Linked DNA regions of Macaca fascicularis. The protein of the gene in region 1 interacts with the protein of each later gene in a biochemical or structural test. Links are inferred from orthologs where the notes say so. Each region holds a gene or a part of one and is shown on either strand. Other genes may lie near its edges. The genes, in order: FGFR2, FGF10 and FGF7.

Region 1 (4,340 bases):
CTCATTGATTTACTAAGCATTTCCAGAATGCAGGGGAATTTTCTACCTCTAACACGCCTTCAGGAACAATCCTAAGTCCTCGCAGAGGTTTCGCCCCAGGCTCCTTCCCCAGCCTGCTCCCCTACCTGTCCCTAACCAGAGAAGCCTCCTTGGCTCCAGGCAGAGAAAGGTGGACAGGGCTCTCCGCTGAATCTCAAGCCATTCCATCATCCTGCTAGCTTGCACTAGAAATTTGCATTTCAGCCATTTCCAGGTCCAAGCCCCACAGCAGCCCCCTCCCCAAAACTCTGGAAGGCGGGGACCTAAGGCGACAGGTCTGCACAGCTCCTCACCCAAGTGGACAAAAGTATGGTGCGACCTCCTAGGCAGGATAATTAGGTCCCCAGGCTCGGTGTTGGGAACACAGGCCCAGCATGCCGCTGGCGGCCACAATCCCGGCTTCCTGCCTTCAATGCCATAATCCTTCCTGGAGTCTGAGCCCCAGTGAAAGCCCCAGCGTGTTTATTTTTCCCCTTGAAAGGGAACTCTCTTCTCAGCCTGCACGCGGGAGGAGTTGTCACCCTCCCTCTGATGGATGGCTCTTCTCGGCCGCCCGCCCCCCCCCCCCCCGGTCCATTTTCACCTCGGCACAAGCCTGCCCCCAAAGACAGGCAGAGTGACAAGCAGGAAGGGCTTGGCTGCGGAGTGGTCCCCATGCCAGGCCTGTGCTGGGCTCTTCAATTTACCATGACATTCCCAAAACCCCGGCCCTCCAAGAAGGCAGATCAATACAATGCCCTCCGCTTTGGGCTTCCACCTAAGGGGTGATCTGTCGACACACTGCTGGCTCGGCCACCGGGAGCACCTGGCGTTTTCTTCCTAGGTAGATTTCACATCAGGAAAGTCAACAGTGCCCGGCTCCTCCAAAGTGCAGACCCATCTCTTCGCTTAAGGCCTCCCTACTTCTCCCCAGCACTGAGTAGGAGCGGGAGCTGTCAAGGGGTCAAGTCTGGGGGGGAAATTCCTCAACAAATTGAAATCTCAAAACACACACACTGACTCAGGACCACAATGCCCTCCCAGTTTAATGCTTGCGTCCAATCAGAACTTGCGAGCAGCTTGGGGGTGCTCCTCACCACCACCCCCTTTCAGGGCAGCACTTCTTTCATTTGTTTGCCTGAAATATCCTGTTTTTCTCCCCCTTCTCGGGGCGCTAAAGAGCTCAGAGAAATCTGCATTTTAATTGACATTCCAGGGAAAGGGAGAGGGGCGCCTGATTGCTTTTCTATTCAAACTAAACAGGCTTTTCAGATGAAAATGAGTCGAGCCCGGTGGAAGATTTACAGGGATTTGGGACCAGGGGGACAATGGAGTTTTAAATGTTGATAGCGTTTCACACCAAACACATAATGGGTGCCCTGAGTTTGAAAGCAGGTTTGCCTTTAAGGGTAGGTTTTATTGTATTGGGCGAAAAGAAGGAGGGTCTGGAGAACGATCTGCAAGGGAGTGGGGTGCGAGGAGAGCGACGGAGGCTGGTGCCCCCGGGCCGGCCTCCTGCGCCAGGTTCGCGGTCCGCGAGGGTCGGAGCCAGCGCCACGCAGGGCCCTCGGCTGATTTCCCCAGCGCGGCCCCGTCGCCGAAAGAATGAGCAAGAATGAGCGCGCAAGTTAGAACTCGCCTGCGCTTTCGACATCTCCCAGCCGCTGCGGCAGAGCAAGCAGACGAACTAGAAAAAGTCGGTCCAGTTCGCCCCCTAGCCCCAGGCGCGCTGCGCTCCCTCCAGCGCCGACGGCGGCTGTGGGCGAGGGGCGCCCCGGCACCGAAAACCAGGCACTGGAGCCGTCGCCTCCCCAACAGTGCCACCCTTGACCATCGCCACCCCTACGGGATGTCACCGGCCCCACCCCAGCGGCCCCCTCCCGAAAAACGAGTCTCCGTGGGGCCTGGATGGGACGGAAGTTCCCAGGACCCACGGATGGAGCACCTCAGAGATGCCCCCTGGGACCCGGCCTGCGGGGCTGTGCCACGGGCAGGCGAACCTTCGGCCAGTCTGCTCTGGGGTCGGAGAAACGTGCCCAGTCAGCGGGAATGCGCCCGCCAGGGTTTGACAGGGAGGGGGGCGTCAACGCCAGAGGCAGATGTCAGCATCTGGATGGGGGTGGCAGAGGCAGAACTTCCCGAACACCGGCCGTCAGCACGCACCCACCTCCCCCATCACCTATGCAGCCACAGAGAGAGGACACGGAGGGCCCTCCACAATGCCAGTCCTTCCGCGCCCCCCGCCCAGAGGACTGTGCACCCGGCGTCCCGGGCTCCCCTGGCGTCCACGTCCCCGACTGGGGAAGCTCCCCGAGGCGTCTTGCGCGGCGATTACCTTGAATGGCAACGCTCCTCCGCGATCTGTGTTATCCCCGCGCCCCGCGTGGGTCGGGATGGAGAAAGCGACGAGCCCGGGGTTGAGGGGAGCAACTCCAAAACGCAGAAGAGTGGTCCTTGGGTCTTCGCCGGCGCCAAGGCTCCCGGGCTTCAAGCGTACCCCAGGCTGCGGAGGAGCGCGGGCATGACGCCCGCGGGCTGCCCTCGGATTTGGGGAAGGAGAGAAAGAAAGGACTCAGGCTTGGCGTCGCCTCCACCAAACTTTGCTCTCGAGTTGCGAAGGCTCAGAGCGCGCAGGCAAGCTGCGGCCTCGGGGCCCCCGGGGCTCGCGGCCGGCCCCCGCCAGCCCGGAGAGCAGTCGCCGCGCCGGGCCAGGTACGCCGCATGCAGCCCCGCGGCGCCCGAGCTTTGTGGCGGCCGCGCGCGCTCGCTCGCCCGCTCCGCACCCGCCGCCCGCCCGCTCGGCTCTCCACCGCGCTCTCCTGCCGCCGCCGCCCGCGCCGCTGCCGCCGCCTCCGCCTCCTCGCGGCGGGTCACGCCCCCGCTGAAACCCGAGCCGTTTCCTGGACGGCGGCGCCCTCTCTGCCAATCAGCGCCGCGCGCCCGGGCCGCCCCGAGCCCCGCGCGGCTCCCGACGCCTCCGAGCTGCCGGAGACACCGGCCGGGGAGGCGAGGGCCCGGCCGCGATCCGGCCGTAGGGATGCAGCGACAGCCTCCGAATAAGGCCTGGTCCCGCGCCCCGCGCCACCTCCTCCCTCCTCCCCGGGCGAGCGAGGCTGGCCAGCGGCTCGCTGAGCGGCTGCGTTACGTTGTTTTATGTCAAGTTAGAAAACAAGTGACCAAAGGCTCTAACCCTGCCCTCCCCGTAAAGAGACTTTAAAATGCGCCTTCTTGGTACTGCGGGGAGGGTTGTCAGGCAACTGAAGCATTTGGAGGAGAGAAAGCAACTTGGAAATGTTCGCAGGACATTGCATTTTTCTGTCCTTCTAAACAATAGAAATGAGAGGAAAAAACTGAATATTAATGGAGGACCTAGTATGTGAGGGTCACACTACATAGGTGATTCTATTTCGTCTCCCCAACCACCCTGCAGGGTACTATTCCCAGTTTCTGATAAGGAAACTAAGGATCAGAGAGGTTAAGTAATTTGCCTAGGATCACACAGCTGGCTACTAGGAGAGCCTGACCTTGAATGTGGCTCTCTCAGAAAAAGTCAAAAATTGCATCCAAAAAAAAAAGTGTTTAGTATATATGTTTGGATTAATAAAACGAAATTCAAAGGAGTCTAAAGACTCTACCATAAATAGCTGGACCTTGAACAAAGTAATTCCTCCCTCTGAATCTTAGATTCAAAATCATAAATGCAAAATCTGATTCTTCAACTGCACGCCAAGCTGTAACTGGTTAAAGTTCCTATTTCCATTCACCTTTTCACTAAGCCATGTCTTCAGAATAATTTATTTTAAATATGCTTTTTCTCCCTCCTTATTCATCCAGCTCCTGAGCAGTTGTGCTTAAGTTCAAGACATATAGATTAAAACCTTAATTATTTTTCTTTAGAAAAGGTCACTAAACCCAGAAATGCTTTAGAATCCTTTTGAGGCCTAAAGATAGATGAAGCATTGAGAACAAACCTGACTTGGAAAACAGACTTTTCCTGCATTTAGAAACGTATTTGCACCTGTGTCACTAACATTGCACACTTCATAACATTTACAAAAATATTTTTCAAGGTACCACATGATTAGAAAATCATTTTTATTCACAATATAGCACAGAAAACGTTTATACAAGTTACTTAAAAGCCATACAAGTAAGAAATCCATTTAACTGTCTCAGGCAAAAGGCTATAACATTATATTTTGGAAGTTTGATAGCAACAAAATAAAAACTGGTTCTTAAGTAAAATTATCCCTCTATATGCTTGGTAGGAGGGTATGTTTTTGGTCAAGTCCTCTAACCTGGATTAGCCCAGAGCCTGTACA
Region 2 (4,236 bases), on another chromosome or scaffold:
TGGCAATTTCATGGGCTTCAACAAAATACAAATGTCTAACTGTACTATGTGACATAGATACTTCATTCCAGTACATGTTTAGGCATTCCTTCTAGTTAAACGTTCCCTAGTTTAGAGTCATTCTTAAAGAAGTGGTCCTCTAGGAGTTGTTTCTTATTCAGATTGGGATGGATTATCACAGTATTTCCTTTTTTGTGCCTCTTAACTCTTGGCAAAGGCTTCCTAGCCTTGGACTTAGTTCTGTCAATACCTGGGCTGTGAGCTAGTTTCTGCGAGCAAGGGGGGAGTTGGAGTGGCGTTAAAGAGTGTGAAAAGGAGAGGAAGACTCCTAGAGCAGTGATATTGTAAAACAGAGCCCTTTAAACATAAAATGTGAAGATAGATAAAATTAAAAAAATAAAAAAATAAAAAACCTCCACTTTCTGACTAAGTGCAAAGGAAATTGCATAGAAAAGAAAACAGACAGCAGGGTATTCAGCCAAACTGTATGGTAAAATCTTTGCGATCGCCATAAAGTGCGTTTGCTTTGAAGTGCACGCGTGATTCAGTGAAGGGCTCATGTTAGCAATTAGAAATCGGTTATTTGGGTCCCTGATTTCATTTGCGCCAAGAGAGAGGCAACTTTTAAGGGTGACGATAAATCTCCCTGAGCTTAAAAGGCAGAAAGGGCCAAAGTGTGAACTTTTTACTTCAGCAACGGAAGCGAGAAATCAGTGATTCATTAAAGAGGAGACCTCCTTGGAAGCTGGCAGCAGAGGAGGAAAGGACGCTAATTATGTCTTCCTTTTCTGTGCTCGCTCCGATCAGTTTATAATCTGCTGCTCTGGAGGGTTTAAAATCCTCAGCATCTTCTGCTTTCTCCCAGCCCTCTCCTCTTCTCGGAGTGAGAAGGGGGAAAAAGTCAGCCAAGCATCAGGCTCCAGGTGGCTCTCAAGTACTTCACTGCCAAAAGAAATGGGGGTGGGGGGGAGGATATCCTACGCTGGAAAACAAGTGAGAAAGGGGCTCCCCAGAAGGGATTAGTTCAGGCTGGAAGACAGCAAAATTCGGAAAGCTGGAGGATACCGTCAGCGCCGTGGCCCGCGCTGCGAGCAGGACGCTTTAGCAACGAATTTGCCAGAGCTAGAGGCGCCGGCGGCGGCTGCGGCCGCAAGAGCAGCTGCGAGGAAGGGACCTGGCAGCCCCCAAGCTGGATGCAAAGGCATCGCGCTCTCTCCTCGCTCCCCTGCTCCCCCACCCCCTTCTCTGCCCCTTTCACCCTCCCTCTCCCTGGCGTTCCCAGCAGCGTAGGGTTTCAGATGTCCCACCGCCGGTTGACCCCCTCCCCCCTCTTCTCCACCCCTGCAAATGAGGTTTGACCAGCAGAGGCAGAGCCCACCTCTGGCTTAGAATCACTGACATTTAGACTCCAGGTTTCAACCTGTTTACAAGCGGACTTTCCAAAGGAAGGGGGTGGGGGATAGGGCCATACAAAACATCAGCCGCCGTCCCCCAAAACAAAAAGTGGCTTTCGGCAGCCTTCAAATCGGCAGGCACCACTAAAAACAGAAGGGAAGAGAGGGAAGAAAACAACGGCGACTGGGTAGCTGCCTGCAGTTCTGACAACTCCAAAGGGATACACTTGTAGAAGCGGCTCGCAGGCTGGGGCTCCGCAGAGAGAGGCCAGAAGGTGCCAACCGCAGAAGGGCGCAAATATCTTCCCCTATTCCCCACCCCACCTCCCTTGGGTTTTGTTCACCGTGCTGTCATCTGTTTTTCAGACCTTTTTGGCATCTAACATGGTGAAGAAAGGAGCAAAGAAGAGAACAAAGTAACTCCTGGGGGAGCGAAGAGCGCCGTGACCAACACCACCACCGCCACCACCAGCTCCTGCTTCTGCGGCCACCCACGTCCACCATTCACCGGGAGGCTCCAGAGGCTCAGGCAGCGGATCCCAGAAAGGAGCGAGGGGAGGCAGCCGGCTTTTCCAAGGAGTTATGGATGTTGGTGCATTCACTTCTGGCCAGATCCGCGCCCAGAGGGAGCTAACCAGCAGCCACCACCTCGAACTCTCTCCTTGCCTTGCACCAGGTCTTACCCTTCCAGTATGTTCCTTCTGATGAGACAATTTCCAGTGCCGAGAGTTTCAGTACAATGTGGAAATGGATACTGACACATTGTGCCTCAGCCTTTCCCCACCTGCCAGGCTGCTGCTGCTGCTGCTTTTTGTTGCTGTTCTTGGTATCTTGCGTCCCTGTCACCTGCCAAGCTCTTGGCCAGGACATGGTGTCACCAGAGACCACCAATTCTTCTTCCTCCTCCTTCTCCTCTCCTTCCAGCGCGGGAAGGCATGTGCGGAGCTACAATCACCTTCAAGGAGATGTCCGCTGGAGAAAGCTATTCTCTTTCACCAAGTACTTTCTCAAGATTGAAAAGAACGGGAAGGTCAGCGGGACCAAGAAGGAGAACTGCCCGTACAGTAAGTAACAAATGCGTGCTCCCCTCCTTCCAATTATCCACCCCCAGCCCACACGGGGGGGGAAAAATCTCTTCCAGATGTGGCCAGCTAAATATTTACGTCCCCAACCCCTGTAAAATGATTAAGTGGAATACTTTCACACTAATTCACCACCCGCCCCCCCGCCGCGTGTATACATTGTGCTGCCGCATCGCCTCCCTTAAGCGCGCTCCCTCCACATCCCCCACCCCTTGGCGCCCTGTACACCCCTTCCCTCCAGCCTGTCACTCGCCGGACCACGCAGGGCGCTCAAGAGAGTTGTTGCAGAGCAAAGATGCCCCTCTTCTCTCTCCACCGCCCTTCCCACCTCCTCCAAAGAGCTCTCTTTCCTTCCTTCTGGAAATGGCTCAAGTCAACACATTTTGTTTCTTTTCCCTGGAAATCTTGTTAAGTTTGGGACAGGCTCTTCAAGCTGAAAATAATCATCCGCTGTCAATTATAGGGGCTTTGTGGGAACTTTATTTAAGAAAGAAAAATCAATTCCACTCTCTCCCCACCCCCATCCCCTCACCCCAGCACCTCTAGATATGAGGGAAAAGCATTTTTCTGGTTTTGATTTTTGTTTTGTTTTGTTTTGCGTCCCTTATGTTAGTTTGAGTGATTGCAGTCCATGAAGTTAGCTTTTCAGGCACCACCGCTGCTATTTGTCTTCTGCCTGCCTTCTCTCTTGGTAACATGATGCTCGTGTCTGCATTGTCAATAGCGTATGCACTGCTTCGTGGTGTCCTGTTGTACTGTTTCTTCTGAAACCTCTCATATTGCAGAGCCATACTACTACAGCATTGTAAACATCTGGGGCTGGATTCACACAGACCTCACACAAATTTCATTGTCATTCTTTTATTTTCAAAGTAAAAGTCATAAGTCTGTTTCCATGGCTATAGTTTATCCTACAGTGTGACGTTTTCTCCTCAGTGTAAATTATGCCTGGGATCCATAGATTTTGTTCTTGCCTTTTCCCTCTCTCTTTCCTTCTTTCTCTCTTTCCCTTACTTCTTTCTTGCAGGGGTGTGGGCTGGTTGAGGGAGAGAGAACTAGAAGAGGAGGGGTGGATATTGTGTCTCTTCTTGAATCAACCCAGCAAAGCCAAATTACTCTGTTGACTTCCTTTCTCAGTTATTTTCAAGTGGTGAGACTTATTCATCCCCTGTTGATTATTATGTGAAAGGAACCCAAGACTTTGTAATGGCACACTGAAAACAGTAAACAATGATGTTTAAACATCTTTAGTGACCATTTGGCATTATCTCAGTGGTAAATTCCAAGTCACCTTTAAAGGAGACATTTTTGTGTTCGTTTTTCAGGAATTCTAAGCATAGATTGTCGGCTAACTTAAATACATGAGTCAAGCATTTAAAGATTCCTTGGTTTAGAAAGTACCAAGTACTAATGGGAATGACAGTTGACCAGAATTTAGCATTTTATTTTTGAATACAAATTTACAATAATTAAGAATTTAGTTTTCTTCTGTGGGGATGCACACACACTCAACATTAACTTCTGTTCCTCCTCAGCCACTGGTTCTATTTACTAAAATTCACAATATGTTTATAAGTAATAAAAATACGTGTAGAAGTGCTTTTAAAGTGTTTCATTTTATGTTTCATACTAGAGATAATTAAGTACTACATTACCTGATTCATAGAAAGTAGCTGAAATAATGTCATAATGATGACAATTATTTTTGCTTAAAAGTCATTTGTTACCTGAATTCATTAGATCCTATGTTTATAACCTTT
Region 3 (3,083 bases), on another chromosome or scaffold:
CCCATCAGTTTGTACTTCCCTTATATAATGACTATTCTGGTGTTTGTGTGTATCTGTTGTGGGTCGGGGTCTTGGGCTGAGTAAATAATCACATTAAAAATTTTTAAAACTTCCAATTAAAACAGAAATAAGAACAAATGGCCATTCTTGGATCATCTGCAAAGCTGAACGAATACTTGACATGTCTTTCTGTGATTCCTTGCAGATATCATGGAAATCAGGACAGTGGCAGTCGGAATTGTGGCAATCAAAGGGGTGGAAAGTGAATTCTATCTTGCAATGAATAAGGAAGGAAAACTCTATGCAAAGGTATTGATAATTGATAGCTTAGGCTTAATTTTTAAAACTAATTTTTGTCAAAATATCTCACCTTTCTGAAAAGTAAAAATGGAATTAATTTATCTCCAACTGTATTAATATAATGATTTTATTAAAACACTTTTTACTCAAACATTAAGAAAAAAATGTTTTCTGTGTGACTTTGGACAAATGGCTTGTTCTTTGGATTTTGGTTTCTTCATCTGTAAAATGAGTTGAATGAACTGACCTCTAAGCATCCTTCCAGCTCTAAAATTCCATGTGCATTTTAGATATTTAAAATCCAAAATTTCCATTTGCCAGTATTAAAGCTCTTTTTGTTAAAGGTCACCCAACTTGCACATTGCTGACATGAAAATTCTTGGGAAAAAAATCTTGAAATGTTTAGTTCATTTATCAACATCAATCTCACAATCATGGGCTTTGAACTGTAATTATTCACATTGTTCCCACTTCACTACAATGCAAAATATGTAACAGTTCATCCCACTATAATAAAATATAATTGGCTTTCCTTTATATTCCCACAGCTCAGCATAATGCCTGGGACAGGCTAATTATATAATGATATAGGTTTAATTGAATGAACAAATGATTGCATGGATGAACAAACAAATTAACCTTTTATCTTCCATTACCATTGAACACAATGTAGAAGTAAATAAAGAAAAGTTGTGAAACAAGTCTCTCACTTGAGGGAGGCAGAAGTTAGGCTAATTACACCAAATTTCCAGTGGTTAAAGAATGAGTGATGTGGGAATAGTAATATGAGGCCTGTTACTTAGGGGGAAATAGGTGCTAATTTTAAAGAATAGTTGACATGAACTGCCAAAAAGCTACACATATTTCATAACTAACTGTGTATTACGTGGTGTTTTTATTTTAAATTTAAGATACCTTTTTATGCAAATATACCACATAAGTATAGCTGATAAACCACATTTGGCCTGCTCAATCTGAGGGTTAAAAAAAGTCATGTATGTTTCAATTCTACCAAATATTACCTGCTTACTCTTCGTTTAATTGAGCCTCTCTAAAAATCATCTGAATAATGTTTGTTTGTTTGTTTTAACAGAAAGAATGCAATGAAGATTGTAACTTCAAAGAACTAATTCTGGAAAACCATTACAACACATATGCATCAGCTAAATGGACACACAATGGAGGGGAAATGTTTGTTGCCTTAAATCAAAAGGGGATTCCTGTAAGAGGAAAAAAAACGAAGAAGGAACAAAAAACAGCCCACTTTCTTCCTATGGCAATAACTTAATTGTATATGGTATATAAAGAACCAGTTCCAGCAGGGAGATTTCTTTAAGTGGACTGTTTTCTTTCTTCTCAAAATTTTCTTTCCTTTTATTTTTTAGTAACCAAGAAAGGCTGGAAAACTACTGAAAAACTGATCAAGCTGGACTTGTGCATTTATGTTTAAGACACTGCATTAAAGAAAGATTTGAAAAGTATACACAAAAATCAGATTTAGTAACTAAAGGTTGTAAAAAATTGTAAAACTGGTTGTACAATCATGGTGTTAGTAATAGTAATTTTTTCTTAAATTAATTTACCCTTAAGAGTATGTTAGATTTGATTATCTGATAATGATTATTTAAATATTCCTATCTGCTTATAAAATGGCTGCTATAATAATAATAATGCAGATGATGTTATATAAGGTATATCAGACCTACAGGCTGCTGGCAGGATTTGTCAGATAATCAAGCCACACTAACTATGGAAAATTAGCAGCATTTTAAATGCTTTCTAGTGAAAAATTATAATCTACTTAAACTCTAATCAGAAAAAAAGAATATTCTCCAAAAAAATCTATTATGAAAGTCAGTAAAATAGATAATTTAACAAAAGTACAGGATTAGAACATGCTTATACCTATTAACAAGAACAAAATTTCTAATGCTGCTCAAGTGGAAAGGGTATTGCTAAAAGGATGTTTCCAAAAATCTTGTATATAAAATAGCAACAGTGATTGATGATAATACTGTACTTCATCTCACTTGCCACAAAATAACATTTTATAATTCCTCAAAGTAAAATTGAGAAATCTTTAAGTTTTTTTCAAGTAACATAATCTATCTTTGTATAATTCATATTTGGGAATATGGCTTTTAATAATGTTCTTCCCACAAATAATCATGCTTTTTTTCCTATGGTTACAGCATTAAACTCTATTTTAAGTTGTTTTTGAACTTTATTGTTTTGTTATTTAAGTTTATGTTATTTATAAAAAAAAAAAACCTTAATAAGCTCTATCTGTTTCATATGCTTTTAATTTTAAAGGAATAACAAAACTGTCTGGCTCAACTGCAAGTTTCCCTCCCCTTTGTGACTGACACTAAGTCTAGCACACAGCACTTGGGCCAGCAAATCCTGGAAGGCAGACAAAAATGAGAGCCTGAAGCAATGCTTACAATAGATGTCTCACACGGAACAATACAAATGTGTAAAAAATCTTTTGCCACATATTCTTGCCAATTAATTGGATCATATAAGTGAAATCATTACAAATATAAGTATTTACACGATTTTAAAGTTAGAATATATTTGAATGCATGAGTAGAAAAGTATCATATTTTTAAACTATGTGTATTTAAATTTAGTCATTTTCTAATCTCTAGAAATCTCTGCTGTTCAAAAGGTGGCAGCACTGAAAGTTGTTTTCCTGTTAGATGGCAAGAGCACAATGCCCAAAATAGAAGATACAGTTAGGAATAAGGGGCCCTGAATGTCATGAGGGCTTGAGGTCAGCC

Evidence for each region.
Region 2: the proteins of FGFR2 (region 1) and FGF10 are reported together in a solved structure, tested with the Homo sapiens proteins (3 studies listed by BioGRID and IntAct, with this or other methods). The link is inferred for Macaca fascicularis from reciprocal best matches to the Homo sapiens genes FGFR2 and FGF10.
Region 3: the proteins of FGFR2 (region 1) and FGF7 form a complex in vitro, tested with the Homo sapiens proteins (3 studies listed by BioGRID). The link is inferred for Macaca fascicularis from reciprocal best matches to the Homo sapiens genes FGFR2 and FGF7.

What each region holds. Positions count from the first base shown.
Region 1 is NC_088383.1:130,601,851-130,606,190, forward strand, and holds the start of FGFR2 (fibroblast growth factor receptor 2), read right to left. Parts: upstream 2,827-4,340; 5' UTR 2,354-2,826; intron 1,010-2,353; exon of another isoform or gene 845-1,009; intron 476-844; exon of another isoform or gene 333-475; intron 1-332. UniProt on the Homo sapiens protein: Tyrosine-protein kinase that acts as a cell-surface receptor for fibroblast growth factors and plays an essential role in the regulation of cell proliferation, differentiation, migration and apoptosis, and in the regulation of embryonic development.
Region 2 is NC_088380.1:44,932,241-44,936,476, reverse strand, and holds the start of FGF10 (fibroblast growth factor 10), read left to right. Parts: upstream 1-1,396; 5' UTR 1,397-1,669; exon of another isoform or gene 1,670-1,760; 5' UTR 1,761-2,133; coding exon 2,134-2,458; intron 2,459-4,236. UniProt on the Homo sapiens protein: Plays an important role in the regulation of embryonic development, cell proliferation and cell differentiation. Required for normal branching morphogenesis. May play a role in wound healing.
Region 3 is NC_088381.1:25,997,588-26,000,670, forward strand, and holds the end of FGF7 (fibroblast growth factor 7), read left to right. Parts: intron 1-205; coding exon 206-309; intron 310-1,393; coding exon 1,394-1,588; 3' UTR 1,589-2,583; downstream 2,584-3,083. UniProt on the Homo sapiens protein: Plays an important role in the regulation of embryonic development, cell proliferation and cell differentiation. Required for normal branching morphogenesis. Growth factor active on keratinocytes.